Linked DNA regions of Sus scrofa. The protein of the gene in region 1 interacts with the protein of each later gene in a pairwise test. Links are inferred from orthologs where the notes say so. Each region holds a gene or a part of one and is shown on either strand. Other genes may lie near its edges. The genes, in order: MTUS2, RGS2, TXN2, DDX6, FCHSD2, CTSZ and CDK18.

Region 1 (3,719 bases):
CTCTCCCAGCCTCTGGGCAGCACACCCCCACCAGGCCCCACCTCCCCCTCTCTGTTCGGTCTCTGTCCCCTGGACCAGCAGCGCCTCCCCAGACTGGGGCCGAGGGACTGCCAGCGGGTCAGGGGTTGGCCGAGAGGCTCTGGGAAGGCAGAGGTAGTGGGATGAGTGGAAATCATGAGTCAAGCCCGGTTCTTGGTCCCTGGGGTCCAGCAGGACCCTGTTCTCCTGGCACACAGCCACCGTCCCCTCCCTTTGCCCCGCACCCCTGGGCCGGCAAAGGTCAGGTTAAGTGCCTGCCGGCGTTCTTGCTACTTGACCGCTGCTTCCTCTCCCCGTGCAGACAGCTGTCGGAGGAAAACGCTAATCTGCAGGAATACGTGGAGAAAGAAACGCAAGAGAAGAAGAGATTGAGCCGAACCAACGAAGAGCTGCTTTGGAAGCTCCAAACCGGGGACCCGACCAGCCCGGTTAAACTGTCCCCCACGTCCCCTATTTACCGCGGCTCCTCCTCCGGGCCCTCCTCTCCCGCCAGAGTCAGCATGACGCCAAGATGACGCCACCACGCTGCGGGCGCAGCCCCGGCACCCGGTCCACGAGGGCTCCCACTTGCGGGGAGCAGGGACCACGGGCCGGCGGGGCTGGCCCGCGCGCGTGCGCAGTAGCTGCAGAGCTGCATCCTCTGCGCGCATGCCCCGTAGCTGCACAGCCGCATCCTAGGCAGAGCCCTCTTCTGACCCTCGTGTAAGACTGTCCTGGTGTTGGCACTTAGGAAAGTGTAAACGGTAGCGTCTGGCGTGCAAATGTTTGGCAGTAGTTAGAGCCAAAAGAAAGGAACACCCATTGTTCTTGAGCGATGAACTTTCACTGCAGAATTTCAGGTTAGTTACAAAGAGCTCGGTTTTGAATATCCATTGACTAATCATCCTGTACCGCACCGATCTGTGTGTACATTTAGATACACGTATATACACATGCAGCAGTTCTGAATCGCATTTTTTATAACATGAAGTGCTGACATATTTTGGTGAAGGTCAGCAGTTTTCTAACTTGTGCCTAAGAATTATTGGGAAACGAAAATGCATTTCTATCTAGCTTCCCAGGAATATTTCTACCCAAAATAGTAAAAGGAAAAAAAAAAAAAAAAAGATACACAGAGAAGAAGCGCCTTTCAACCTACCACCACGTGGTACTCTGTTTAACACAAACACCAGCCATTCGTGAACGGTAACTGCCTTTGGAACAATCAGCTTCTTAGTCAATATGACGTGAGGTCACTGTCACTCCATCTGCAAGTTTTAATGATTAACACTGTCGTGAGTGGATAAGGGGCAGCCGTGGGAAACCCTGAGGGGTGAGCGGTTTTGCAGATGGCACTCGTGACAGTGGATCATCTATGGTCTTGTAGACACAAGTTTTGCTTTTTTCTTAAATGGCATTTGGAATCTATCCTTAAGCTACTGCATCCTTGAGAAAACACGGAAGCCCATGATCTTAGAGAAGGAGGGTGAGAATGACCTTGGAGTCGGCCCAGACCACGCACGCTCCATCCTCAACAAGGAGAGCTGCTGCCAGGGTCTGTATTGTGACGAAGCAGGGCAGGAGCACATACTCTGGCATCCTCTTCACTTCGCTCGGATGTGATGCTGAGAATGGCCACCCCACTCAACCATGACCCTCGGCTCCATGTCATTGTCCCCCCCACACACACCTTTCGTTTGGTTGTGAAACCCAACCTCATCCCTGTACATTGAGATGCTCAGGGGCTCTAGCAGGGGCTTCCAGCAAACCAGTCCTCCTCAGTTCCAAGCCATGCTACGTCATCACGTGACTCCCAGAAACCCAGGTGTGTTTTCTGCTGGACGATCAAGCAAGGCCACAGCAGACAGTGGTCCCACTTGGGGCCCAGGAGGTTCTTTCAGAAGAGCCCCGACTGAAACAGCCAGCCTAGCGCTGCTGGCTTCTGGACTGGCATCTGTCGCTGAAACGGTAGCATTAGAACGTGAGAGATACTCCTGTAGTGCTGTGGACGATTAGCAGCATGACCCACGAAAGAAAGAAGTAGGTTCAACGTTGATACGCTGATGATAACGATGCCTCTGTCTACTGTGTGTGACAGAGCCCCTGCCCTTGTCTCCCGAAGGCCCCTGGAAATGGTCCTGGGCACGGGGCTGCCTCCGGGCACACCCGAAGCAGGCGGACTCACTGAGGGATGCCGCTTGGGCCAGAGCCATGGGGCAGGGAAGAAAGGGCCCTCAGAAGGCGTCCGCGTGCCCAGAGCCTGGCCTGCTTGGGGATGTGCGGCCTGCTCTGTGTTCCCCGAGTGACACACAGTTGGGCTTCCGGCCTGACATGCATCTCATTTCTAGCCCATCTCCAGGTCTCTGCCCACCCCGAGGACACACACAGGAGATACCCATTGACGAAACATTTCCATTTCCCGTTAGTGGCTCTGCATGACGCTGTGACACTGAGCTGGGCATTCCATTAGAGTAGCTCATGCCACACTGACGAAATACACAGATACTGAGTTCTTTCTGCAGGCACCACCTGCAGACACAGGTTCGGCAGTAGCTCAGCCTCCGGATTAGGAACTGCTTCCGTAACGGCACCTGCTCAACGCGGTTACCCAGCAATACAGATTTCAGTGTGATGTTAGCACGTGGTCCGGTGTGTTAGCCTCGTGCAGTCCGTCGTCGTGCTGTTAGAATCCCTCACCAGGTGGACTCGACCTTGGCTCTGGCCAGCCCTGACCTTGGCTACTCGAGCTCCCTCCCGCACTGCCCTGGCTTCGTCTCCTCGTCACAGACGCCCGTCTTGTGTGGCTCCCATCCCGGGACACACGAGGGGCAGCAGCCACGGCGCCCCTCACCCCGCACACCTTTGGGACCTGGACCCCTGGCGACGGGGACATCTCCCTGGCGTCTGCCTCCCGGGCTGGAGCTGCTGCCACGCAGAGACGCGGCAGCCTCCCCCACCTGCCTCAGACACACGCAGCAAGCCTCACCAACCACTTCTTGGCGTGTGAGCCCCTGTTGGAGCCCGGCCGCCCCCAGCCCACCCCACACCCCAAGGAGGTTCCTGCGGGGGCGGGGGAGAGGCTGGAGGCCCACGCACTTGGGGATGATGTGAACGGGGTCCCTCGGTCCTTTTCGGGCCCCTCCGGTTTCTGTGTTGCCTATCTGTGTTCGAAGCATATTAAAATGAACTTGAGGGACCTTCTGTGATACGCACTTGGTGTGACCATTGGCCTGGCCCGCTCAGGCTTCAGGGGGGCAGGCGGGCATGCGTCTGAAGCAGGGAGGCTGAAGGGGCTCCGCAGGCTGGGCTCCTCGTGTGTGTGCCAGGTCAGCTGGTCACTGGGTCTCGCCCTCCCCCGACCCCCATCGCTCTCCCAACTTCGCAGGACCAAGGTCGCTGCCTCGTCTTCCCAGCCTGGGGCCTTCAGCAGCCCTGCTTGGATTCTGGGGGCTCAGTGGCCCTGCCCCCGGCCCACACCCCATCCCAGGCAGGCTGGGGTGGGCTGGAGTTTGTTGGGCAAAAGACACAAAAGATTGAGTCCAACCCCCAACCACCCATTTCAAATTCCAACGGTGACCTGTTTCTACCCGAGCGAGCCTGGCCTGTCCTCGGTCGCGCCGGTGTGCGTCTGGGCACAGAGCTCTCCCCTGACAGTGGCCGCGGCGGGCCCTCCTGGCAAGGTGTCTGTGCCACAGCACTTC
Region 2 (4,226 bases), on another chromosome or scaffold:
CTCCATAGCTGAGTACATGGCTGTTCTCTTTAGTAATAGAAACGTTTTGCTCTCCAAGTCAATCCTGGAGCTCCAGCTACTGGCAGCTCCTCATCAGAATATGGTAAACCAGTTCCAATTTTCTTTTAACAGTTCTAATGCAAAGGAGAGAGAATTCTGCAGCCTAATACCTTGTGGTTCATCTCCCTGCTACTTCGATGCTTGGCAGGAAAACCCCTTGAACATTCCACTGCACAGATCTAATAAAATTGTTCGCTATCCGATCACACCGGGGTTGAGGTCACCTACTCGTCCTTACCAATCAAACCGTTTAAATCGTGCTACAGCAGGACAATTTCTGAAGAATTTAGCAAATTAAGCTCCTTCAAGCAAACTGTTAACCTAGCCTTCCCTCCACCCCCACCTCTCCTTTTTGCCAAGTAAATGTTCTGGTAAATTCTAGGCCGACTAAGAATGACTCATGAGGAAATCCTGCATCTTTGCATTCTTACACTAAAATGACAGCTGCGAGGTCCTGGTGTTTCCCTCTACGTCCTGAGAAGGAGATCTGTGACTTCCCCGTGTGTTCCCTAAGGACAAGCAGCCAAGTACTCCAGAGGAGGAGCACGCAACCCCAAGGACCGACCCAGCCTCGTGTGTGTTGGTGACTAAAACTGCACACCCAGGTAAAGCACTTCTTCTCCTGTTCCTTCCCCTGACCGACGACGTCCCTCCCAAACGTTCTCCAAGTTGTCCAGGGAAGCTGCAGAGCAGGTCACACCGCCCGCCCCTGCGCCGCCCCCCCTTCTCCCTTTCCTTCCGCCAATGAATCGGTGACGAAAAGAGGAGCAGGTGAGCATCTCCCCGCGGCCTCAGTTTACAGACCAAGAAAGGAGGCGCGGGGAGAGGGTGTGCGCTCCAAAAAAAGAGGGAACACATCCGAATTCAAAACCGAGTAACTGCACTCAGGTTCCCAGCAAGTAACCTTGACCTGCTGGGGACTCCCCCCTCCCTTTGGGGTCCGGAGCAAGTGCGCGTGGGGGAGGGGACGGAGGCGAGGAGGGGGAGGGGCGGGCGAGCGCCCCGCGGGGCCTGCAGCCAACCCGCCCCACGCCTCCCAAGCTCTGCCACCCCGCCGGCCGCCCCAAGCCGGCAGAGGCCTCCGGCGGCTGCCCGAAGGGAAACTCCTCGGCCCCCACCAGCAGCCCCAGCGCCTCGCCGCGGGGGGCTCGCCTGCGCACGACGCTGCGGCCGCAAACGTCAGCGGCGCCCTCCCTTCCAGACCCTTCGGCGGTGCCCGGGACTGCGCAGACTCCGCCCCAGGCCCGGAGCCAGCCGGCCAATCGGCACCCGCTGAAGGCGGGCCCAGCGTCGTGAGGCGCCGCCCACGAGCCTCCGACTCTTATAAATACCGCGGCGCGCTCCTGGCAGCAGAGAGCGGGCACCCGGGAGCGTAGACGATAATGCAAAGTGCTATGTTCCTGACTGTCCATCACGACTGCGGACCCATGGACAAGAGCGCAGGCACCGGCCCCAAAAGCGAGGAGAAGCGGGAGAAGATGAAGCGGACCCTGTAAGTACGGCTTTCTTCTCTCCCCTGCCAGCCCCGCGGACCTAGCTGTCCCGGGCGGCTGCAAACGCGGTACATCCGCGCTTGGCTTCCACCCTGGAGCGGTGCCTCCATCTCTGCAGGGGAAAACATTGTGTAAAAGATACACTTGCTAGGTAGGGTTAAATCTATGTGGTGGGTCCTTTGTGATGTAACCGAAGGACTCGAGGGTAGAGTCGAGGAACTGCGGCAAATTCGTGATGCAGAGGCGGTGGTAGATGAGCTGAGGAATCGCAGGTTGGGTTTTTATCTCCCCGCATCGAAAATGACACCAGAGAATCCTGCAGCCCAGGCGCGTCCCCAGCATTCGTACGTTGCATTGTAAATTCTCATCAACTTACACAGCTGCTGGGATGGAAATATTTTTGCTAGCTCTGAATATATTATTTTAAAATCTTTTTTTTTTCCAGTTTAACAACAGATCTCACCCACCCAGCACTAAGGAACAAATAATTGTTCTGCATCATCTGGTTAAAATGGGTGTTGTAGTTGCGATCACACACGCGCGCACACACGCACACGCACCTCACCTCATTGTTCACAGCTTCTAGAGTGGTCCAGATCCTCCTGCTCTAAGGGTGGAAGGGAAATACCCATGGCTGGCTCCGGGCAGTTCCACTGTCCGTTTCATCAAGTGTGAAATGTCTCAGAATTGTAATTAACATTGCAGAACTGCTGCTGCCTTTTGTGGGCCAGAAATAGCATCTGCCTTTTGAACTATGCCAGCTAAATTCATTAAATACCCTATAATTGTAGGTTATCCTACGCGTAGTTATAAAACTAGCAGTTATGTTCAGATGAGTAGATGAAACTGTTCCAGGCATAGGTGCTGGGTTTATATTTTAAAGGGGTAAGACTGACTTGAAGGAGGACTGTTTTGTCTTACTTCGTTGTCTGTAGCTACTGGGAGTGACTTTATTTGGTTTAAAAAAAAAAAAAAAAAAAACCTTTAGCTGCAGTGGTGTGGCCATTTCAAGTGTTGGCACTTAGTAAAAGTCTTTTTTTTTTTTTTTTTTTTTTTCTTCTTTAAGATTAAAAGATTGGAAGACCCGTTTGAGCTACTTCTTGCAAAACTCCTCCTCTCCTGGGAAGCCCAAAACCGGCAAGAAAAGCAAACCGCAAACCTTCATCAAGTAAGTTGAAAATCTCAGTCCTTGCAAAGCTAGGCCACCAGCTGCTGAACAGAAGGGGGAAACAGACAGGTGTGAGCTGACATGTGACCGTCTCTTGCAGGCCTTCTCCTGAGGAAGCACAGCTGTGGGCAGAAGCATTTGATGAGCTGCTAGCCAGCAAATGTGAGTTAACCCCTTGAATTTGGTCCTTTTCAAGGAGCCCAAGCGTCTAGAAAGGAGGAGCATCCGGCCCCAGGGAGTTTGACTTTACTGTCTCCAGCATCTGAGGCCTGTTTCTTCCCCCGCCGTTTCCCGGGGATTATCCCTGGAAACGCAGGGCTTATTCACTCCAGGTGGGACGCAAAATCAGCGCCAAACTGGAATGGCCCTTGGTGTAAGCTTGAGCCAGCTTTTCCATTGCATACAGTGTTCTCAAGAGGCTTAGTTCACACAGAGAACCAAAGCTCCCCCGTAAACGGCTGGGTCAACAGCAAAGCTGAGCACAGCAGGGCGCCACCTTAAGCATTTTGCAGACTGGCATCTTCGTCTCTGAAGAGCTCAGTTCTAAAGCGGGAGTGAAATCTAGAAATCTTGCTTTCATCTAGAGATAAGAAAATTAGGGGGCCAGGGCCAGGGAGGCCTAGGAGAAAAGTGAAGGGATTATGAGGTCCCTCAGTTCACGTTCTTCATGCTTCCTCTCCTCTGCCCCCCAGATGGTCTTGCTGCATTCAGAGCTTTTTTGAAATCTGAATTCTGTGAAGAAAATATTGAATTCTGGCTGGCCTGTGAAGACTTCAAAAAAACAAAGTCACCCCAAAAGCTGTCCTCCAAAGCCAGGAAAATATACACTGACTTCATAGAAAAAGAAGCTCCAAAAGAGGTAAGGAGGAAAAAAAAATGTCCTTGTTTCCGTATCTGTTGAACATTCTTAGCACCAGAGTGAAACGAAAGAATAGAAGAGTCCTCAAGCTAAAAGGAGGGGTAAATATTTTCCCCTCTGGCTTTCAGCGAGATGAATGACCTTTCTACGGGGGCGGCTGGGGCACCTCTTCCGCCCCTCATGGTTTTGGAGGTCTTTTGCTTGTTCATTTGCTTTCATGTATCGCATAGACGTCAGTCTCCACCTCTGAATATGCAGTAAACCGCTATTTTTGTTTCATTTCAGATAAACATAGACTTTCAAACCAAAACTCTCATTGCCCAAAACATACAAGAGGCTACAAGTGGCTGCTTTACAACTGCCCAGAAAAGGGTGTACAGCTTGATGGAGAACAACTCTTATCCCCGTTTCTTGGAGTCTGAATTCTACCAAGACTTGTGTAGGAAGCCGCCGCAGATCACCACAGAGCCCCATGCCACATGAGATGGAAACGGGAGCCCCGCAACGAGGACATTGCTTTTTTTCTTTTTGTTTCCTAAGGGGAAAGGCTGTCACCTGCCGAAAAGACTGACCTTGAATTCAGCCTGGGTGTTGAGGAAACATCACTCAGAACTATTGATTCGGAGTTAGTGAGTCAGGAAGCCAG
Region 3 (4,119 bases), on another chromosome or scaffold:
TTAATGCTGCTCAAGAAGTATGAGTAGGTGTTCTACCGAGTGGACATAGAAAAAAGGCTTTCAAGTTAAGCAAAGGCAGGGAGGAGGGAGAAGCATTGATTTATTCATAGAACCATAAGAAGTTATGAGTGGTTGTAAGGTCTTAGAGCCAGATTTAATCCCTCAAACTGCCGACTCCCTTATCTTGTTCAACCAAGAGCAGCCTGTTCTGGAATGATGACTGCCCTAACTGCATTTTGTCTTTGCTAATCTTCAGTTCCCACCATATCATGGAACATTGTTACAACCCCTCACCTCTCCTCCTACCCCTCCCATGTAGCCTGATGCCAGCCCTGACACTGGTTACTTTAGCCACAAGCCTCTATAAAACCTATTCCCCCGCTAATACCAGGGAGCCTGTGCTTTCTCTCAGTGCTTCTGGCCATCTTCTGTTCAGTAAACCTACTTGAAGCCTCAACGCTCTGGACTCTCTGCCTCTATTTCTGCTCTGAAACCCCACAGCCCTTTCCTGCTCTAACATAGGTAAAGGGTGCAAGGGAGACAAGGGGTGGCTGTGAGACCAGCCTGAGACACACAAATGCCTAGACTCCTGTTGTCCATGACAGCGACAATGGGTGAGAAAGGAAGGCCCAGGCCCAGGTAGATTCAGGGATCATCACACTTTGCCTGGGGCCTCAGAGGCAGGCCCTCCAAGTATCACTACCAGTTGGCATCTTGTCTGGGCCCAGTTTCTCAGCAATCCCAAAGAGACAAGGGTGGAAGACAAGCTGAGCTTTTCATGTCACATTTTGGGAAACTGAAGTCCCCAAGGGCAGGAAGACTTGCTCGAAACCACGAAGTTATACAGTCACATATGACAAATACGAGTCAGCGTTCTCTGGACTCCCAACTGAAGTCTTTTGCTTCGAAGCGACATTAGGACAATGAGACAAAAGGGTGGACATGCTGGTCAGCAAGTGTTTGCAAACTCGAGGACCACGCCTCCCCACCGCCCTTCTCTCCGCCCCCCCCCCTCCCTGGCACTCCCGCCTCCTTCCCCTCCTCTTCCGGACCCTCCTCCGGAGCCCTCCGGCCTCTTCCTGTCCCTCCCCAATGATCCGCCCCTCTTCCGGTTCCTCCCCTAAGAGCCCGCCCATCTTCCGGTGTCTCTTTTCAAGAACGCTTCTCTTCCGGTCCCTAACGGAGGCTCCGCCCGTGCCTGCCCTCTAGTTGAGGACTTGCTCAGGTTGCCTTTCCCGGAAGTGACGCTAAGGCCCGCCCCTCAGGAAGTGACGACAGAAGTGCCCTTGACCGGTGGGGCGGGCCGTGCTGTGCGTCGCTTCGCTCTCGTTGCTGGGAGGTAGGGGCCCTGTGGGGATGGTTCGAAGTGGTATCGCGGCTGAGGCGCCTCTGCAGGCGCGTTCCCATGCAGGCCGATGGCCGAGCGGGCAGAAACCCTGGGTGGGAGGAACTTGCCATTCGGGGAGCCGGGGTTCCCAGTTCCTTCCACACACACGTCCCTTCTTTATTAATTCCCCCCCCACCTGCTCCCGTGTCACTTCGTTCCTATTTGAATTGTTGCTTGTCTTCTTTCCTGAACCTTTGACAACTCTCCTTTGTCTTTAATTTCCCATTAAAACTCCTTTTAAAAGAGTAATCGATAGAGTAAGGACTTTTCAGACTGTCGTGGGCTCTAGTGTCGACTCTCCTTTAATAATTGGGTTGCTTTGGATATGTCACAATTTGCTTGAGCTTCTAAGTCCTTATCTATAATATGAGCAGTAGTACAGTAGAAACTTCTTCATCGTTGATCTGGGAGGACTCTAATGCCTGTAAGATACCTATCTCTTAGCAGGTGCTCCATAAATATTGATTCCTTCCCCCCTTCCGTCTGTTGTAATTTCACCAATATCCTGCTTTTTGGGTTGTCGACCTAGTTTTCCCATCCTGGTTTTCGATTCCTTTTTCCCCTTGATTCTCATTCTTTACTCACTTTTCCTCCAGAAGTCTTATGTATTATTTCCCAACATTTTGTTTCTGGCCCTGCATCTTGAGCCCCCTGGTACTCCCACATACCTTTCTGATTTCTGGTGTGTTGACTTCCTGTTCTTTGCCCCTACTCTTCCTACCTCTTCCCTTCACAGATGGCTCAGCGTCTTCTCCTGAGGAGGTTCCTGGCCTCTGTAGTCTCCAGGAAGCCCTCTCATAGTCGGTGGGCACCCCTCGCTTCCAGAGCCCTGCAGACCCCACAGCTCAGCCTTAGTAACCTGACAGGAACACCCAGCCAAGCCCGGTCATTATACACTACCCAGGTCTGTACAACAACCTTTAACATCCAGGATGGACCTGACTTTCAAGACCGAGTTGTCAACAGTGAGACGCCAGTGGTTGTGGATTTCCATGCACAGTGAGTCCTGGGGGGGTCAGTAGAAGACTGGGTGTCACTTGTTCTGGTATTTATTGAGCACCTGCTATGTCTCAGTACTATGTTTGATGCTTCTCACATAGAGATCGGTGAGACCGAATCCCTTATCTCAAAGATTAGTGTAGTTTGGTAGGAAACCGACTAGTAGGAGTTCCCGTTGTGGCTCAGCAGGCTGAGAACCCAACTAGTATTCGTGAGGATGTGGGTTCGATCCCTGGCCTCGCTCAATGGGTTAATGGTCTGGTGTTGATGTGGCTGTGGTGTAGGCCGGCAGCTGTAGCTCCTATTTGACCCCTAGCCTGGGAACGTCCATATGCTGCAGGTGAGGCCCAAAAGAGAAAGGAAGAGGCAGACTAGTAAACAATCTTCAGTCTTCAGAACACTCCGTGGGTATTCCCATGGTGGTACAACGGCATTGGCAGCAGTTGTCTCTGCAGCTCCAGGCCACAGATTTGATCCCTAGCCCAGCGCATTGGGTTCAAGGATCCATCGTTGCCACAGTTGCGATGTAGGTCCCAATTGCAGCTCAGATCTGGATCTGATCCCTCCTGGGAACTCCATATGCCTTGGGGTGGCTGTAAAAGAAAAAAGAAAAAAAAGGAAGAAAAAAAAAGAAAGAAAAACTCCAAATAGTGCTGTGAAACAGTTATGTTCTGTATCTCACTGCCCAAGTGGCTCAGGTCATCTTTAGCTTGGACCAAAGCAGGAAAAATAAGGCTGTAGTATCATCTGGCTTTTGGTATATTACCAGTTCCTGACTCTGCAGATAATTGTGTTTAACATCTTGCCACCCAAGCGGAGAAGGGCTAGCAAAAAGTTGTCAGTTCCACTGATAAAAGTTAACAGTTGGGTGCCCAAGCGTGCACTGGATGGACAGGAGTTTCTTTCTGGTGCCCTGTGAGTTTGTTTAAAGGATATTTAAATGCCTATGGCATTCTGGTTGTCGGTCTGGCCTTTTTTTTTTTTTTTTCGGTTGTTATTGTTGTTGTTGGCCTTCTTCCTTTCCAGACCTTTGGAGCCTGGCTGGATGCCTGGTTCTAAAACTACTGGACAAACCTTTCAGAATAGGGCATCCTTGGATTTCCCGTGTGGCTTACGACAGAATGGGGCATCCTGAAATGGGAGCCTGAGTTAGAAGTTGGGAGACCTTGTGGGCAAACCACTGACAGATTCTTTTGCTTTCCTTCGCCTTCTTTCTCTGACTCACCATGCTGCCTTGGGCAGGCCATGTGATGACCTTATGCCTCCCTTTCTTCACGTGTGGTAGGAGCTAAGGTCTTGCAGACGGGGCTTTTAGGTGTTGTGAGTTCATTAATTGAAATCTCTGAATGCAGAGGGTCTTCAAAGCTGAGAATAAATTAGGAGTCACAGGGAGTTCCCGTTGTGGTGCATTGGAAATGAATCCGACTAGTATCCATGAGTTGGATCCATGGCCTTGCCAGTGGGTTGGGGATCTGCCATTGCTGTGAGCTGTGGTGTAGGTCAGAGATGCAGCTCAGATCCTGAGTTGCTGTGGCTGTGGTGTAGGCTGGCAGCTACAGCTCTGATTTTACCCCTAGCCTGGGAACCTCCATATGCTGCAGGTGCAGCCCTAAAAAGCAAAAAAAAAAAAAAAAATTAGGAGTCATCAGGCAGGGGTTGGTGGAAGGCAGAGCTGTCCTGCCCTCCTGGTCTGCTGAGCACATTGGAGAGAGCTTCCCAAATGAATGATTTGG
Region 4 (3,500 bases), on another chromosome or scaffold:
GGACTGGAAAAGGATAGCTTCTGAGTAGAAAGCTGCTTATGGCAATGTGCATGAAAAGTTATGCCAATAATTTGCAAATACTTTAAAGTTAATGAAGTGAATAAAATTAGGTTATATTAGAAAATATGCTAAAGGGTATTATGGCACCAAATTGGAAGATCTAATGGAGTTTTTTGTTTGTTTTTTAGATTTGTTTACCCGAGGTATTGATATACAAGCTGTGAATGTGGTAATAAACTTTGACTTCCCAAAGCTGGCAGAGACCTATCTCCATCGAATTGGAAGATCAGGTGAGGAAAAGGAAGATGTTCTTTGTGGAACTTTTTGAGTTTAACCACTAAATTTTGTTCCTTTTGTGAAGATGTGTGTGATAGCAACTAGAACAGTGAATTAAAACTAATTTAGCTGTTTGGTATATAAATATATGACTAGGGAGTTCCCGTCGTGGCGCAGTGGTTAACGAATCCGACTAGGAACCATGAGGTTGCGGGTTCGATCCCTGCCCTTGCCCAGTGGGTTAAGGATTCGGCGTTGCCGTGAGCTGTGGCGTAGGTCGCAGACGCGGCTCGGATCCCGCGTTGCTGTGGCTCTGGCGTAGGCTGGCGGCTACAGCTCCGATTAGACCCCTAGCCTGGGAACCTCCCATATGCCGCAGGAGCGGCCCAAGAAATGGCAAAAAGACCAAAAATAAATAAATAAATAAATATATGACTAATTTCTATTTTTTCCAAAATATCTATTAGAGGTAAAATAACTTTATGCTTACTTTGAGGTAAAATTCTCAAATGAGAATCTCACTTGTGTAATTGTACTGTTGAGCATGTATATTTTGGCAATTTTTAACACAAATGAGCACCCCTTTTTTCACTTGAAAAAGTTAAAATAGAAGTACTGGAGTTCCTGTCGTGGCTCAGTGGAAGTAAATCTGACTAGTATCCATGAGGATGCAGGTTTGATCCTGGGCCTCACTCAGTGGGTTAAGAGATCTAGTGTTGGCATGAGCTGTGGTATAGGTGGCAGATGTGGCTCAGATCCCATGTTGCTGCAGCTGTGGTGTAGGTCCAGCTCCAGTTGGACCCCTAGCCTGGGAACCTCCATGTGCCCAGGGGTGTGGCCCTAAAAAGACAAAAAAAATATATATATATATAAAAGAAGTACTACTGGAGGCTGTGAAACCTGAGGTTACTATAATGTGTTATAAGGGGACCATCAGATCAGGGTTCATATACTCAGAATGGCCCCCAAAACTTTAACCCTACATAGTTTTACCACTTACAGACTAGTGCTTGCACATTGATCCTCACATTTAATTTTTGTTAAATAAAATTTTTTGTTAGGTCGCTTTGGTCATCTTGGCTTAGCCATCAACTTGATCACATATGATGATCGCTTCAACCTGAAAAGTATTGAGGAGCAGCTGGGAACAGAAATCAAACCTATCCCAAGCAACATTGACAAGAGCTTATATGTGGCAGAATACCACAGCGAGCCTGTAGAAGATGAGAAACCTTAACAAGTATGTGCATACCTGACAGAAGAGATAAGTGAGCATAATGTTTAATAAAGGAAAGAAATGAAGGTCCTTTTTCCTGGGGGAAATTTGATGTCGTACTGTATATAATTAGCAGTGAAGGTTGAAACACCTCTCAGCATAAATGACAGTAAACAGGAAGTATCTTGGTTGAAGTTGTGGTCTTATTGGAGAATCTATAAATTCTATTTTTGAATTGCAGTCTTCCTAAGTAATGTAGTATGTGTGCAGTACTTGAAACAAATTCAGACTTCTAAAATAATGAAAGCAAAAAAGAATCTTAGCAATTTTGAGTATGAAAACATCTTTGCTGTTATCCTCTGTCACTCAGTCCTCTCTGTTAGTGTTCACTCTTAATTTTGAATGAATACCTTAATAAATCAGGTTAAATTACCTATAATTCCTCATTGCTAAATGAGTAATCAGGTTGTGAGGATAACTCCTATTTTAAATACCCACTCTGGTTTTCTGCACCTACCCTCTCATCTTGGATTCTGGTAGAAATATGCTCAAAACAAGGCTTGTCATACATAGCTCCCTGATGGCTCAGCAGGTAAAGAAACCATTTGTCACTGCTGTGGCTTGGGTTTAATCCCTGACTCAGATATTATAGCATGCCGTGGCCACCCCCCCCCCCCCAAAAAAACCCCTAAAACAACAAGACTAAATATAGAGGAATGAGGGCTGCTTTGGAAGTTTTTTGTTTTTAAGGAAAATCTAATTTGAGAGACAATAGTTTACAAGTTAGCAGTGAACATTTGATCTATTATTTTTAGATATTTCAAATTACTCTCTTCACCTTAACCTTTTTCTCCTAATTAAAAAAATTTTTTTTCATAAAGTATTGGTTGATTTACAATGTTTTAGTAATTTCTACTATACAATAAAATGATTTAGTTATACACACACAGACATCCATTCTGTTTCAAATTCTTTTCCCATATAGATGATCACAGAATATCAGGTAGTGGTCCCTGTGCTCTACAGCAAGTCCCTGTTGGCCAGTCTTTTTTTCCCCTAATTTAAATGTTAAACACAGAAGTCTCAGACGAACATAAAACTAGCTAATGAATGTTTGAGTTGAGTTCATGTAAGGCTTTGAAAAGTTAAATTTGTTGTGGGTGACTACTGCCTATTATCAGAACTTTCAGGCTTTCATTCTGTCTCTGGCATGCTTAGCAGAAATTCCTTAATCCTGAGTGGATTCTGTAATAGGCAAAGGCTCAATAGGAGCTGTTGTAGAGAGCATTTAGGATGGGGGTTGTGAACATCTACATATCTGAGTTCATGTTGCTTTCACAACATTAATTTTAGGTTTCTTCCCTTTTTCCTTTAGGCTTTGTCAAACTACAGAAGGCTCGTTTGGATCTCTGACACATTGTTTTTGGGGGGATACTCTTCTCTTTGTGGGTTTTTCATCTTCTTTTATTTTGGAACTATGAAGACTTAAAGGAGCTCATTTTTTCTTTTTTTTAACTGGTGAAGAGAAAAAAGCTGAAAAGGAGTTTACCTTTTTTGTTCCACTTGTTTGCACTGTGTGCTGACTGAACATTAGTTGCACTAACTGCTGGTTTTTTTAATGTTTTCTGGGGAAGGGGGACAAGGAAGGAGAAGAAAGAAGAGAAGGGGAGAAACCCTAAAAAGAGAAGAATCCTAATGAACACAAGCTTGTCTACGATTTCAGAATTCTTCAACAGCTGACTCTTGAGTGCATTTCAACTTCTCCCTGGTTACTCATCCGTTTTTTAAGCCTGAAGAGCTTATTACTTATTTGTGCGAAGTGCCTTATGCTATGAGACCATTCAGAATATCATCTTTTAGACAGAGCCCGAGGAATCAACAATAGTAATTTTTTTTTTCTTTAAAAAATTTTTGTCTTTTCATTTTGGTTTCAAGTTGAAGTCTTATCTCTTCCCTTTCTACCTGATACTCAAGCCCAGGGCTGGAAGATGAAACGTATTAGTAAATG
Region 5 (4,169 bases), on another chromosome or scaffold:
GAATAAATGATGTATCAGCGAGCATTTAAGGCCCTGCGGTAGGAGAAGTTCTAATTAATACAAAACGCCTGTGAAGCTGGCACTATTTCCCCTTTTTACAAGTGAGGAAATGAAGGCTGAAAGAGGTGAACTGACTAGGTCAAGGTCTCATATTAAGTTGATGGTGGAGCTGAGACTGGAGCCCAGCTTGGGCTCTAGCTGCTGGCCCCACAGCTGTCAGGGAGCTGGGCCTCCACCACCTGTTCTCTTGCCCCAGGCCTTGCCCGATAGTAACTGAGGGCTCTGGGGAAGGTCTCACTTTTGAATGGCCTCGAGGAAACCAGAAACAGCAAGTCTGGTCTCCCAACTCCTACATAGCCCTAGATTAACCTGACTCTAGTTATTAGCATATCTCTAATTCTATCACCTTCCTGTACAAGAATCTAGGCTAACAATGCCAACAATCTAGGTTTACATCTTCCCAATTTCTAGCCAAGTGGCTTTGGGCAAGTTCCTCGGGTCTTCCTAGGGCTTCATTCACTTTCCTCTTTTGCCTGACTACTCTTCTGAGAACAGGTGTTTGAGACCCCAACTTCTGATAAAACTGGGGTTCTCTGATTCGCCCTTCACCCAGACCTAGAGGCTCCGGAAGAGGTGTTTTCATTCCTCTAAGGACATCAAGGGAGGCTGAGAGTCCTAACCTCTGATGGTCTGGATGGAGGAGTAAGGTGGGATGGAGGGAGCTGCCTGGTGAGCGTCCTCACGGGGCAGATGAGGGAGCCTGAGTTCGCCCAGCCAATCAGGGGCAGGCAGATCGACTGGCATCCTGACTTCCATTCAAGGGCTTCCTGCACTGACCCTGCCACCTCCTCTACTCTTCCTCATGGTTATCATCTGCACCTGTTTTATAACCCATGCAACGCTTAGTTACCCACCCAGTCTAGCCCTGTTGTGTAACCTTCAGAGAGTCTCCACTCCTCCGGCCTCAAATGGAGGTCCTGGCTCTAACGACCTCGCGGTCTTCTAGCGCAGAGTCTGTGCTCATGACTTAGACGCCCTGCAGCAGAGAGGCAATTTTTTCTCCGCAGGGCAACTAGACGTCCCCGCTCCCGCCCAAACCAGGCACCCGCAGCAGCCGCGAAAGGACTTGTCTGCGCCCGCCCCTTGGTGCCTTGGCCGGCCAGGCTTATCCCGCTGGAAGGGAGGGGGGTGTTGCAGCGCCGAGATGAAGCAAAGAACGGGACTCTCCTACTGCTACAGACATACAGACATGCTGCCCGCTCCCCACAGCAACACCCGCTCTCGCTCTTTCTCTCTGTCTCGGGCTCAGCAGGTCTCAGCCGCCCGCAGGAGGCACCGGCGGCTTACGCGCGTGCGTCGGCGCAGAGCCCTCGCCTGCCCACGTGCGCGCCCCCGACCGCAGGCGCGCCGCGGCGGGCGGGCGGGAAAGCGCGCGGGAAGCCCCCGGCCGGCTCGCGGAGTGGGGGAGGGGGGCCAGGAGGCGTCTGGAACGTGCCATTCTCGGAGAGAACGGGGGGGCCCTCGGGCTGCGGTCGCGTTTCTACCCCTCTGAGTCGCCGATCGATCCGTTAGCTCCCCCCGTCCCTCGGCCCGCGATCCGGAGCCCCGCGCCGCGGCCACGCTCGCTCCTCTCAGCCTGGCCCGGCCCTAGAATCCAGCTCCGGCCTGAGCTGTCCCTTCCGCCGCCGGAGTGGGGCGCTGCGTCGCGCGCTGGGGCCGGAAATTCCCGCGGCCTGAGTGGAAGAAGCGAAGCGGAGAGCGCGGCGCCGCCTCCCACCTCCCCCGGCCGGGCGGGGGCGTTGGGCCCAGCGAGGGCCGGGCCGCCTGAGTGGCGGCAGGGGGGCCGCGTCCGAGGAGCCGCGGAGCGGGCGGCGGGCGGGGAGCCTCGGCGGCCGGGAACCGGACGACGCGGCCGCTCGTCGCGAGCTGCTCGCGAGCTGGGAGACCCTGCGCCCCCGCTCCCGGGCCCCGCCCCCTCGCGGTCCCCGCCTCCTCGCCTCACACACCCCCGGGCCGCCGGAGCCCAGGCCTTGCCGGCGCTCCTCCTCTTTCTCTTTACACTCTGCCCGCGACCCGGGTCCTCCTGCCGTCCGCCGGCCTTGCTCCCTCCGGGCCGAGTGCTGGTTCTCAGGCGCTGCTTACCGCTCACGCCGGCTCTCGGGGCCGCCCGCTCCTCTCGGCCCTCCTTCTCCCTGCCTCGCCAACGCCGCCGCCGGAGGAGGATTGATGTCCCTTCAGCATCATGCAGCCGCCGCCGAGGAAGGTGAGGATGCAGCTGGGGGTCTTTGACGGTTGGGAGGGGATGGGCGCAGGGAACGCGGCTGGGGCCACCGCCGCGCCCCCTCCCCCTTTGCGCCAGGGGCTGTGACCGCCGTCGTCTCGGGCTTGTCACTGAGTTGCCGCCGGCTCCTGGCGGGGGGCGCGACGGAGGGGCGACCCGGGCTGGTCCCCTCGACCGCGCCGGAGACCCCCTTCTCGACATTGCCCTGGAGTTTCGGTTGTGCATTTGGGTGTGTGTGTGTGTGAGCGCGCATGGCAGTGCTGCTCTCTGCAAAGTGTTTTCTCGGGGCTGCGCCGAGGGGAGGTGGGGGAGCCCCTGCAGCTTTGCGGAGCCTGGTGCTTGTGTGATTGTTTAGTCTGCACCAGGTTTAAGCCCTCCGCCCGCCTGTCTCCACCCTTGCCGGTTTCCAGATTTACAGGGAATTTGTTTCCAGCCTAGCCTTAAGGTTTGGCCCACTTTTCCCACGGGGCGACCGAGAAGAAGTTGCAGTGGTCACCCGACCCCAGGGTGAAACAAGCAATGAAGCATGGACCGGCCTGCCTTTCTTTTCCCTATTCCTGCCCCGCCCCTCCGACTCGGGTGCGAGGAAGGTGGTGGTTCTGCCCCCCGGAGAGCGAGAACCGGGCCGAGCGTGGCGTGGGCACCGCGATCTGGGCTCGGGGTGGGAGTGACGGGTGTCAGTAGCTCCTCCGTTTTGCCCTTCCAGAACTCTTTCACTGCCCTCTTGCCCAGTTTTCCCAGGGACTGAGGCGGCGTCCTTGTCTTTTAATCCTGCAGGTTACTGAGTGTCTCCTCCGGGCTCTGGGTGGAGGAGGCTGTTCTCTCCTCCCCTTGTGGGCAAACATTTGCTGAATGCCGAACTCACTGGTGTCTGCTGCGTCTTCTTTCTCATTCTCAACCTGGGTTTTCCAGTGAAGGGAGTCTGTTCCTTTCACACACGTCCTCTCACCCCTCCCGTAGCCCCGATCTGGCGGTGGGGGTTCCAGGCCCCCTGCAACCTGGATCCGGGCCTGGCTGGCGAGGCACTGGCCGGCTTGCATGTGCTGTTCTAGCTGTTTGAAGTGAAAACGCCATGGGGACGGGCTTGCCGGGGTGGCTGAAAAGCACGGCATATGCTGGAAGGTCACTTTTGCTTTCTCCTTTGTGAGAAAAGAGATTGCGATTTGATGTGCTGTCAGCGAGTCCGGGGCATCATCCGGAGAGTGTGCTTTCTGAAGCCATTATGGAATCATTTACATAGTTGATTCAAGGTATAATTTCATGATTGTGAAAATTTCCATCATTAGATATGAGGTATTTGTATGGCCCCTTCTCCCACCCACACTCTGCTCACCTCTCCTGGTTGGTTAATGTCTGAATCCTTTTTGGAGAAAATAGATGACAGACTCTTAAAACTCTAAGACCTAACTGTATATTGAGCATTAAGTACCTGCCATAAACAAAATTAGATGGCTCATAATGGATTTATGGTCCTCAGGGGAGAAGCAAGCAAGAGTTATATATTCTGACAAGTATTAAGTATTTTCCTTAAGAGATTTTTTGTTGTTGTTGTTAAAGTTTCAGTAAGGCCTCATAAATATATGATATGTTTTAGGTGAAAGTTACACAAGAACTGAAAAACATTCAAGTTGAGCAGATGACAAAACTTCAAGCCAAACATCAAGCAGAATGTGATTTGCTTGAAGATATGAGGTAAGGTTATAGTAAATAGTTTGAGAACTTCTGTATCTCTGTTTAAAAGAACCTTTGAGTTCCCAAGCCCCAGGAACTGAAGATGGAATTTCCTTTTGAATTTCCTGCTTTAAGGCCGTTGGAGCTTTGACTCAGCTAGAAATTATAACTGGAACTAACACAATACAAACTTTTTTTCCATTAGTGGAGAAACCCA
Region 6 (2,690 bases), on another chromosome or scaffold:
CAGGGGCACTGCCCGGGGGTTGGCAGCCAGGGTGAGGCTTCAGATGGGTAAACTTCAGGGAGTTCCCTGAGGCAGCTGTTATTTCCTGCGCCTACTCCGCGCCAGGCCATTCGTTCAGGCACTCGGTCTACGGCCGAGAGCGGAGGGCGCAACACCCTGGCAGGTGGAGCGCTGATGAGAAGCTGAGGGCCAGAGTTCGTGTGTCAAGTAGTGGCAGCTGGAGGGGCAGCGGGCTGGGGAGGGGCTGAGGGGCGGGGGGGGAGGCGGCCAGCGGGGGCTTCTGGGAAGGGCCCTGGGGAGGCCTGAGGACAGGGCTGGGCAAGGGGCGGCCGCAGGGGGATGCCGTGGAGGGGAGGCCGCCGGAGGGAGGGCTGATGACCTGCTGCGGGTTCCAGCAGGCAGGGGCAGGTGGCCTCAGGGGTGGGAGGGGCCCTGTGGTGTGGCCACGGGCTGTCGTCAGGGGAAGATCCAGTGAGTTCCGACTTGGAGGTGGGAGCAGCGTGGCTGTGAAATGGCCTTGGTGGCCCTGGGGGACTGGAAGGTGACGTGAGCGGCCCGGGGAGGAGGGGCTGAGGGCCGGTAGGATTCTCGCGCGTGACAGGGAGACAGGCTGGGTGCCCCTGGCCGCCCCGCGGGGGCTGTGGCCCAGGCACCGGGGGAGTGAGAGTGGGACGCGTCTGGCCCTGGTCTGTGGTCCGCGGTGCCCGTGTCCTGGCTCCACCACAGTGGGCACAGTACCCACCTCGCCCTGCCCGGGGGGCACTTGGAGCAGGTGACACGGGCATCAGTGCTGGGAAGGCCCAGGAGGCCTCTCTGGAGAGCAGAGCCCCCAGGGGACGCGTGGCACCTGGGGTGGCTGGGCGGGCAGTGCCAACAGGCTTGGGTGCTGCCCTTGCAGACAGAATCAACATCAAGAGGAAGGGGGCCTGGCCCTCCACGCTGCTGTCTGTGCAGCATGTCATCGACTGCGGCAACGCCGGCTCCTGCGAGGGGGGCGACGACCTGCCCGTGTGGGCCTACGCCCACCGGCACGGCATCCCGGATGAGACCTGCAACAACTACCAGGCCAAGGACCAAGGTAGGCCCCGGCCCTCCCCGCCTTCTCAGGGCCTGTGGCCAGGGCGGGGGGTGGGGGGGGGAGCGGGACAGAGGCCGGAGCCCCCTGCCCCTTAAACCTGGGGGCTGGGTCCTGTTGGGGAGGGGGTCTGGCCTGTGTGCTCCGTGGCCAGGCCCACACCTGCTTTTTGGGATCTGAGGTGCTGATGTTTGGGTGGCTTCACGGGCCTTTGTAAGGCGAATGCTTGTCCAGGGTGAGTTTTCCAGGAGCAGGCGGGCGGGGGGTGCAGGCGGGAAACGGGCAGGCTGGGCGGGAACATGGCCTCGGCCTGCTTCTTGGGCGTGGCTGGGCCGCAGCATCCAGGCGGGTTTGGGGCAGACGGCGCTGCGTGGATAGCGGATTCAAGCTGGCCAGGGATCACTGGGGTTGGCACACTCCTTTCAGGCCGCTCCCCTTGGAAATCAAAGGCAAGAAAAGGCTCAAACCCCAAACCCTCAATGGGCAGTTTGAGTGGCCTGTCCCTGTCAGCTATCTGAGACGGGAGTGGGGAGGCCCTGGGGGCTTTTCTGCTGGCAGGAACCCCCCCCCAGACTGGTTGAGTGGTAGAGAACCCACGGGAGGCGCCCATGATGAAAGGAGCGGCGAGGCATCCCTGCCCCCGCCCAGGGCCCAAGGTCAGAAGTCCTTGAGGCCGCTCTGCCCAGAGCCTGTCCTGGGGGCCCCGGCCAGGCCCCTCCAGCCCGCCGAGCACCCAGGCCGGGTGGAACACATTGGCACCTGCTTGTTTGCCCTGCGGAGCCTCTGTAGGAGCAAAGGCGGCCACAGATCCACCTGTCTTCAGGCTGCACTGGGCATTTGATGTGCCCAGGGATGAGTTAAAGCAACAGTTTCATCCTCGAGTTTAATGTCCCCAGGGAGGGTGTGGACTGACAGGAAACGGACAGAAATCGGTCACAGGGACAAAGTAAAAACTGGGGCCACAGGTCCGAGGCCGGATCGACCCAGAAAGAAGTGACACTGTCCGGGGTCCAGGAAGGACACAGGTGATGGTTTGGAGTCTTCCAGATGCTTTTTCTGTTTGTTTTGAAGCCTAAATCTTGATACCTCCTCAACCCCAAGTAAGAAAATGCTTGTTTTCTCCCCCCAAATGTTTCGTGCGACCTATTCACCAGCCAAGCATATAATCTCATGAAAAGCTAATTTAATGACGCTATTTTCAGCTGTAGAGCATTGTGGAAGGGCTTTGCCCTGGGCTGGAAAGGAAAAGCCAAGCTCCTGAGTGGCGGCGGCTACGGGCTAGTTAACGTGGGTCTTTCGGAGGCGGCTGGGGAAGGGCTCGCCTCTCGCCCCTGCAGCTGAGAGTCGAGCAAGCTGGTCTGGGTTCAAGCTGGTCTGGGTGCAGTGTGGGCCTGCCGGCAGGTGAATGAGGGACCAGCCTCACGCTGACGTTCCGCCCTGTCCCCCAGTGTGTGACAAGTTTAACCAGTGTGGAACGTGCACTGAGTTCAAAGAATGCCACGTCATCCAGAACTACACCCTCTGGAAGGTTGGCGACTACGGCTCCGTCTCCGGGCGGGAGAAGATGATGGCTGAAATCTACGCCAACGGGCCCATCAGGTGAGGCGCTGGCACA
Region 7 (4,130 bases), on another chromosome or scaffold:
TCGGCAGTTTTATTAGCATCCCTGGGAAATCTGTATGACCTGGCAGAGAAAAGAGATAAAGAGTTGGGAGCCCTTTGTGAGGTACCCCTGCCGACTACCAAGTCACTCTCCTAACAGGCTCAGTGTCTTCCTTCCTGCTCCCGAGTCCAAGCCCCGTGGAGTTGCGAGAGCTTGTGGATACAGGCTGATGTTGGAGGGCAAACCTCAGGCCCATGTCTTCCAGAAAGGAATTTTTCCTACTCTCAACAACTTGTTCTCCCTAGGGAAAGATGCCAGGCTCAAAGCCTATGACTTGAAGAAAGGCAGTCACTTCCGAGCAATCGTCAGAAAGGGTTCAGCAGAAACCCATCCACACAGCGGACCACGCCTCCTCAAGAGATCCCTGCCAGGGCCCCCAGTCTGCAGAGGCCACACTCATTGGCGACCAGCGACCATGGAGCTCCCCGATTTGATGCCCATCAGATCCATGGCACCATCTCCTCTCCTCACAGCCTTCAGGAGGAAGCAGGGCTGGGAGGGGCTTGGATGGGCTATTTCATCCCATCTCAGTTTTCCTTTGATCCCTGAAGTCCGATGACGGGGGTGGCGTGGCCATTGGCCTCGGTCCTAATCATGGCTTGCCACTAACTCCTCATGGGGCTTTGGGCCAGTCCAATACCCTTTCTGGGCCTCAGTTTCCCCTTCTCTAAAATGAAAGCTGGGCTGGCAGTAGCTAGTCGGTAAGGCTTCTTGGATGATTAGCACTTGGTCTGTGGGGCTTATTTTGCAAAAGGACAAACTGAATTACTTGTCGAGGTAGGAAGTGGGAGTGATGGCTAGAAGTGAAGCTTCCTCCAGGCCCTGGAAAGGTGGGGTCAACTAGGTGGGAGCTTCCTCCCTAAAGGTAGGTGACAAATCCCACTGGACAGGGGGAAGGGAGAGCCCTGCCAGGACTACTGTTGTCAAGAGCTCTAAAGGCAAAAATGACCAACAGGACCTGTCTGTGCACATTAGCTCCTGGGGTGCCAGTCGCTGGGATCCAGGATCAGACTCAGAAGGGAGGTGAGCTACACGTAGAGACGGACACAGCAGACCAGCCCCTGCCCTGGCCCGGGTCCTGGGTGCCCCAGTCGGGAGGGCTTCATCCCTAGTCACGGCTCTCAGGGCCAGTCCCGCAGGCCAGGCCTAGGAACGAAACCGGAAGAGGCACTTGGACCCTGGTTCCCAGAGTGGGAGAAAGGGTGGGCACCCGGGCAGAGGGAGCCCCAGGGATTGGCAGCGGCTGTGGGCAGGGCGGGAGGGACGGGGAGGAGTCAACTTGTACGTGTGAAAAACTCTGGCGGGGGCCGGGCTCTTCCCTTCCTCCTCCTCCTCCTCCTCCTCCTCCCCCCTCCCTCCTCTTCCCCACCTTCCTCCACCCTCTCCCTTCCCCTCCCCTTCTCCCTCCTCCTCCTCCTCCTCCTCCTCCTCCTCCTCCTCTTCCAGCTCAGGTTGCAGCTTCTCTGGGGAGCCGCTCACCTTTCCGGAGCAGGGGAAGCCGCCCCGAGCCCGGGCAGGGACCCCAGCAGGGCGCAGGGCACAGAGCCCAGCCCCGCGGCAGCCCGGCCGTCGCGGGCGGGAGCCGGCGCGCCGCGGCCCCAGGACACGCGCGGTGAGTCCCGCGGGCGAAGCGCAGTGTGGGTCCGGCAGGGCGGGCGGTGCGCCGGGGGAGGAAGGGGAGGTCGGAGGAGGGGGCACTGTGGCGCCGGGGAAACGGAGCAAAGGTAAGCGGAGCGGCTCTTAAAGGCGCAGTTCTGCTTTTGCCCTGGGGCGGGAGGTTGGAGGGAAATACCAGGGCGCCGGGGGAAGGTCGGAGATCACGAGGCGTGAGGACAAGTGTGTTGGAGGGTGGCGATGCCTTGGCAAGGCCAGTCCCGGGTTCCAGGTGTTTAGGAGGGAAGGACTGTTTTGCATTCTCAGACCTCCCCCACCTCCTCCGCCGGGAGTCTCCACCGGGACTCGCTTTGGCCCCCCGGGCTCCTAGGAAGCAAAGTTTTTCCACCCCGCAGGGAAGCAAGAGCTTTCTAAGCGTCCTTCCGTCTGGGAAGGGCAAGGGTCAGGAGTCTCCGGTAATGAGAGAACCTGAGAAGGTGGAGCCAGATCGCCGCCTCGAGGGGCTTTCTGGGCTCTGGTGAACTTTCCAGAGCGCCAAGTTGAGGGCGGGGGGGGGGGGGGGGGAAGGCCAGGGTCCTGGAGGGTGAAGGTGGAAAGACAGGTGAAGCCCTGCAGGTTCCAGCGCTGGGGGCTGGCTGTGTGTGTGTGTGTTAGGGGTGGGGGTGCCGAGTGGGGGCCTCTGAGGGTTCCTGTGCCTCTTCTCTCCCTGCCTACCTGGGAGCCCAAAGGGGCAGTGCCATCCCCCAGCAGCCAGGAAAGGGTTAATGCAGCAGTGGGAAAGAGTGAGTGGCCTGTTTGGAGATGTGGCTTGAGAATTCTGCTCTCTGGGGGCCGGGTGGGGGGAGTTGGTGATGATCAGGAATCAGAAATCTGAAGTCGGCTGTGGGCTGGAGGCCTCGGTTCTCTCCCTGTTGTGCACACAGGGGTTTCTGGCGCTGTCTGCAGGCCTTGTGGTGGGGATCTGGCCCTTCAGACAGTGACCGATTTTCCATTGCTGCGGGTCGACACCCTGCTAGGCACCGGTGGCTTTGTTCCTCTTCTCTCTGATCCCATCCCGACAGCAAGGGTGGGAGAGTTGGGGCTGTGAGGAGGGAGGGTCTGCTCCCCAGAACCCCCACCCTCCACCCCCCAGCCCAGCCTTCAGCAGTTCCCCAGCTGTGGCCTGGGCCCTGTGACTCACTGACACCACGGCCTGCCCCTCCTGTGTCAGCACCCTGTGAGATTCGGCATGTTCCTTTGGCGTTTTCCACTGGGCACACAGCACATTCCTGGACGCTGGCCTGAGGGAGCAGAATCCTCGAGGACAAGGACGAAGCGCCTGGAATGTCTGGCTGACAGACTTGTCCTCAGAAACCCCCTACCTTTTGTCTGGCCTCCACAGAAGGCTGGGACACCCACCTTGCTTAAAGTTGCGGGGGAGGCGAGGAGGGCCCCAGGCAACCCCGGCTCCTGGGTTTGGGTCAGCATCCTGAAGGTGTTCTGGAGAGAGGGTCACCTTGCCACAGCAGAGCTACTGTCTTGGGTTACCCTGCCCCAGTCACCTCCTGAGCAGCTGGTGAGCCTGTGAGGCTGACCTCCCCCCCCCAGGCCTGCAACTTCGCAGCCCGCTAGGTGCCTTGCCAGGAGCCCTTATTCTTCCCAAACCTCTTGGGGTTTCCAAAGCCAGAGTAGACGTCAGTAAATTACATCTGACTTCTGAATGCCTTGGTGGCTACTGTTTATTGAATATCCACTGGGTGCCAAGCTGTGTGTTACACAGCTTTACAAAGTAGGTATTATCCCCATTTTATGATGTGGAAACAGAGACTCGGAGACGCCAACTTTCCCCAGATCCACATAGGTGGGATCCAGCCCACTTCCTCTAACCTCAGGCCCCCTGGCTCTCAGTCTCTCCCCGCTTAAGGGAGATCCCAGCCCACTCTGAAGTTGTCGAGTTCTATGTGGATCCTAGGAGAAGGAGGGAGGAGGGCTGGCTGAGTAAGGAGGCTTGCACTTGTCCTGTGCCAGGCAGAGCCAGGCTTGGGTCACAGGAGAGAGGGCACCGGATCTGAGGAACAAGTAGGTTCTTGGTCTGAGACCTTATAGGATGGGGCTGCCTGCCTGGGAAGCCTCCCCCTTGGGCCTTGAGATGGAGCTGCCTTTACAGCTGCATTTGTTTTCTCTGCAGACCCAGACTGTCCTCTGCCGACTGGGCCTTCCTGCGCCCAGGCAGACAGCTCCATGCTGTAGGGCAGAGCCTGGCCTGGCTCCTCCCGGCCCCTGTCCCAACCATGCCTGTACTTGCTGGGGTCACCTTGTTTTGTCTGAGTTTAGGAACTAAAGGAGAGGGCCAATCGAGGCCCCTGGTGGAATCCAGCTCCAGCAAGTACTCCAGCAAATTCCTGAGCTTCTTCCAGCCTCAGTTTCCTCATCTGTGAAATGGAGATCATCATATGATTGGTTGTTATATGAGTTCAACGAAGTAACACACAGTGCCTGGCACACAGTAGATGCTAAAT

The links.
Region 2: the proteins of MTUS2 (region 1) and RGS2 interact in binary tests that used the Homo sapiens proteins (3 or more experiments, as listed by UniProt). The two-hybrid records come from large-scale screens. The link is inferred for Sus scrofa from reciprocal best matches to the Homo sapiens genes MTUS2 and RGS2.
Region 3: the proteins of MTUS2 (region 1) and TXN2 interact in binary tests that used the Homo sapiens proteins (3 or more experiments, as listed by UniProt). The two-hybrid records come from large-scale screens. The link is inferred for Sus scrofa from reciprocal best matches to the Homo sapiens genes MTUS2 and TXN2.
Region 4: the proteins of MTUS2 (region 1) and DDX6 interact in binary tests that used the Homo sapiens proteins (3 or more experiments, as listed by UniProt). The link is inferred for Sus scrofa from reciprocal best matches to the Homo sapiens genes MTUS2 and DDX6.
Region 5: the proteins of MTUS2 (region 1) and FCHSD2 interact in binary tests that used the Homo sapiens proteins (3 or more experiments, as listed by UniProt). The two-hybrid records come from large-scale screens. The link is inferred for Sus scrofa from reciprocal best matches to the Homo sapiens genes MTUS2 and FCHSD2.
Region 6: the proteins of MTUS2 (region 1) and CTSZ interact in binary tests that used the Homo sapiens proteins (3 or more experiments, as listed by UniProt). The two-hybrid records come from large-scale screens. The link is inferred for Sus scrofa from reciprocal best matches to the Homo sapiens genes MTUS2 and CTSZ.
Region 7: the proteins of MTUS2 (region 1) and CDK18 interact in binary tests that used the Homo sapiens proteins (3 or more experiments, as listed by UniProt). The two-hybrid records come from large-scale screens. The link is inferred for Sus scrofa from reciprocal best matches to the Homo sapiens genes MTUS2 and CDK18.

Annotation. Positions count from the first base shown.
Region 1 is NC_010453.5:6,531,815-6,535,533, forward strand, and holds the end of MTUS2 (microtubule-associated tumor suppressor candidate 2), read left to right. Parts: intron 1-340; coding exon 341-554; 3' UTR 555-3,219; downstream 3,220-3,719. UniProt on the Homo sapiens protein: Binds microtubules. Together with MAPRE1 may target the microtubule depolymerase KIF2C to the plus-end of microtubules. May regulate the dynamics of microtubules at their growing distal tip.
Region 2 is NC_010452.4:937,284-941,509, reverse strand, and holds the start of RGS2 (regulator of G-protein signaling 2), read left to right. Parts: upstream 1-1,426; 5' UTR 1,427-1,442; coding exon 1,443-1,552; intron 1,553-2,619; coding exon 2,620-2,721; intron 2,722-2,821; coding exon 2,822-2,883; intron 2,884-3,413; coding exon 3,414-3,580; intron 3,581-3,865; coding exon 3,866-4,063; 3' UTR 4,064-4,226. UniProt on the Homo sapiens protein: Regulates G protein-coupled receptor signaling cascades. Inhibits signal transduction by increasing the GTPase activity of G protein alpha subunits, thereby driving them into their inactive GDP-bound form.
Region 3 is NC_010447.5:11,263,320-11,267,438, forward strand, and holds the start of TXN2 (thioredoxin, mitochondrial), read left to right. Parts: upstream 1-1,319; 5' UTR 1,320-1,356; coding exon 1,357-1,395; intron 1,396-2,123; coding exon 2,124-2,386; intron 2,387-4,119.
Region 4 is NC_010451.4:46,029,337-46,032,836, reverse strand, and holds part of DDX6 (probable ATP-dependent RNA helicase DDX6), read left to right. Parts: intron 1-188; coding exon 189-290; intron 291-1,337; coding exon 1,338-1,513; 3' UTR 1,514-1,516; exon of another isoform or gene 1,517-1,544; intron 1,545-2,867; 3' UTR 2,868-3,500.
Region 5 is NC_010451.4:7,606,027-7,610,195, reverse strand, and holds the start of FCHSD2 (F-BAR and double SH3 domains protein 2), read left to right. Parts: upstream 1-1,369; 5' UTR 1,370-2,242; coding exon 2,243-2,263; intron 2,264-2,678; exon of another isoform or gene 2,679-3,531; intron 3,532-3,875; coding exon 3,876-3,973; intron 3,974-4,169. UniProt on the Homo sapiens protein: Adapter protein that plays a role in endocytosis via clathrin-coated pits. Contributes to the internalization of cell surface receptors, such as integrin ITGB1 and transferrin receptor.
Region 6 is NC_010459.5:59,143,688-59,146,377, reverse strand, and holds part of CTSZ (cathepsin Z precursor), read left to right. Parts: intron 1-898; coding exon 899-1,078; intron 1,079-2,523; coding exon 2,524-2,674; intron 2,675-2,690. UniProt on the Homo sapiens protein: Exhibits carboxy-monopeptidase as well as carboxy-dipeptidase activity. Capable of producing kinin potentiating peptides.
Region 7 is NC_010451.4:66,174,209-66,178,338, forward strand, and holds the start of CDK18 (cyclin-dependent kinase 18), read left to right. Parts: upstream 1-1,330; 5' UTR 1,331-1,630; intron 1,631-4,130. UniProt on the Homo sapiens protein: May play a role in signal transduction cascades in terminally differentiated cells.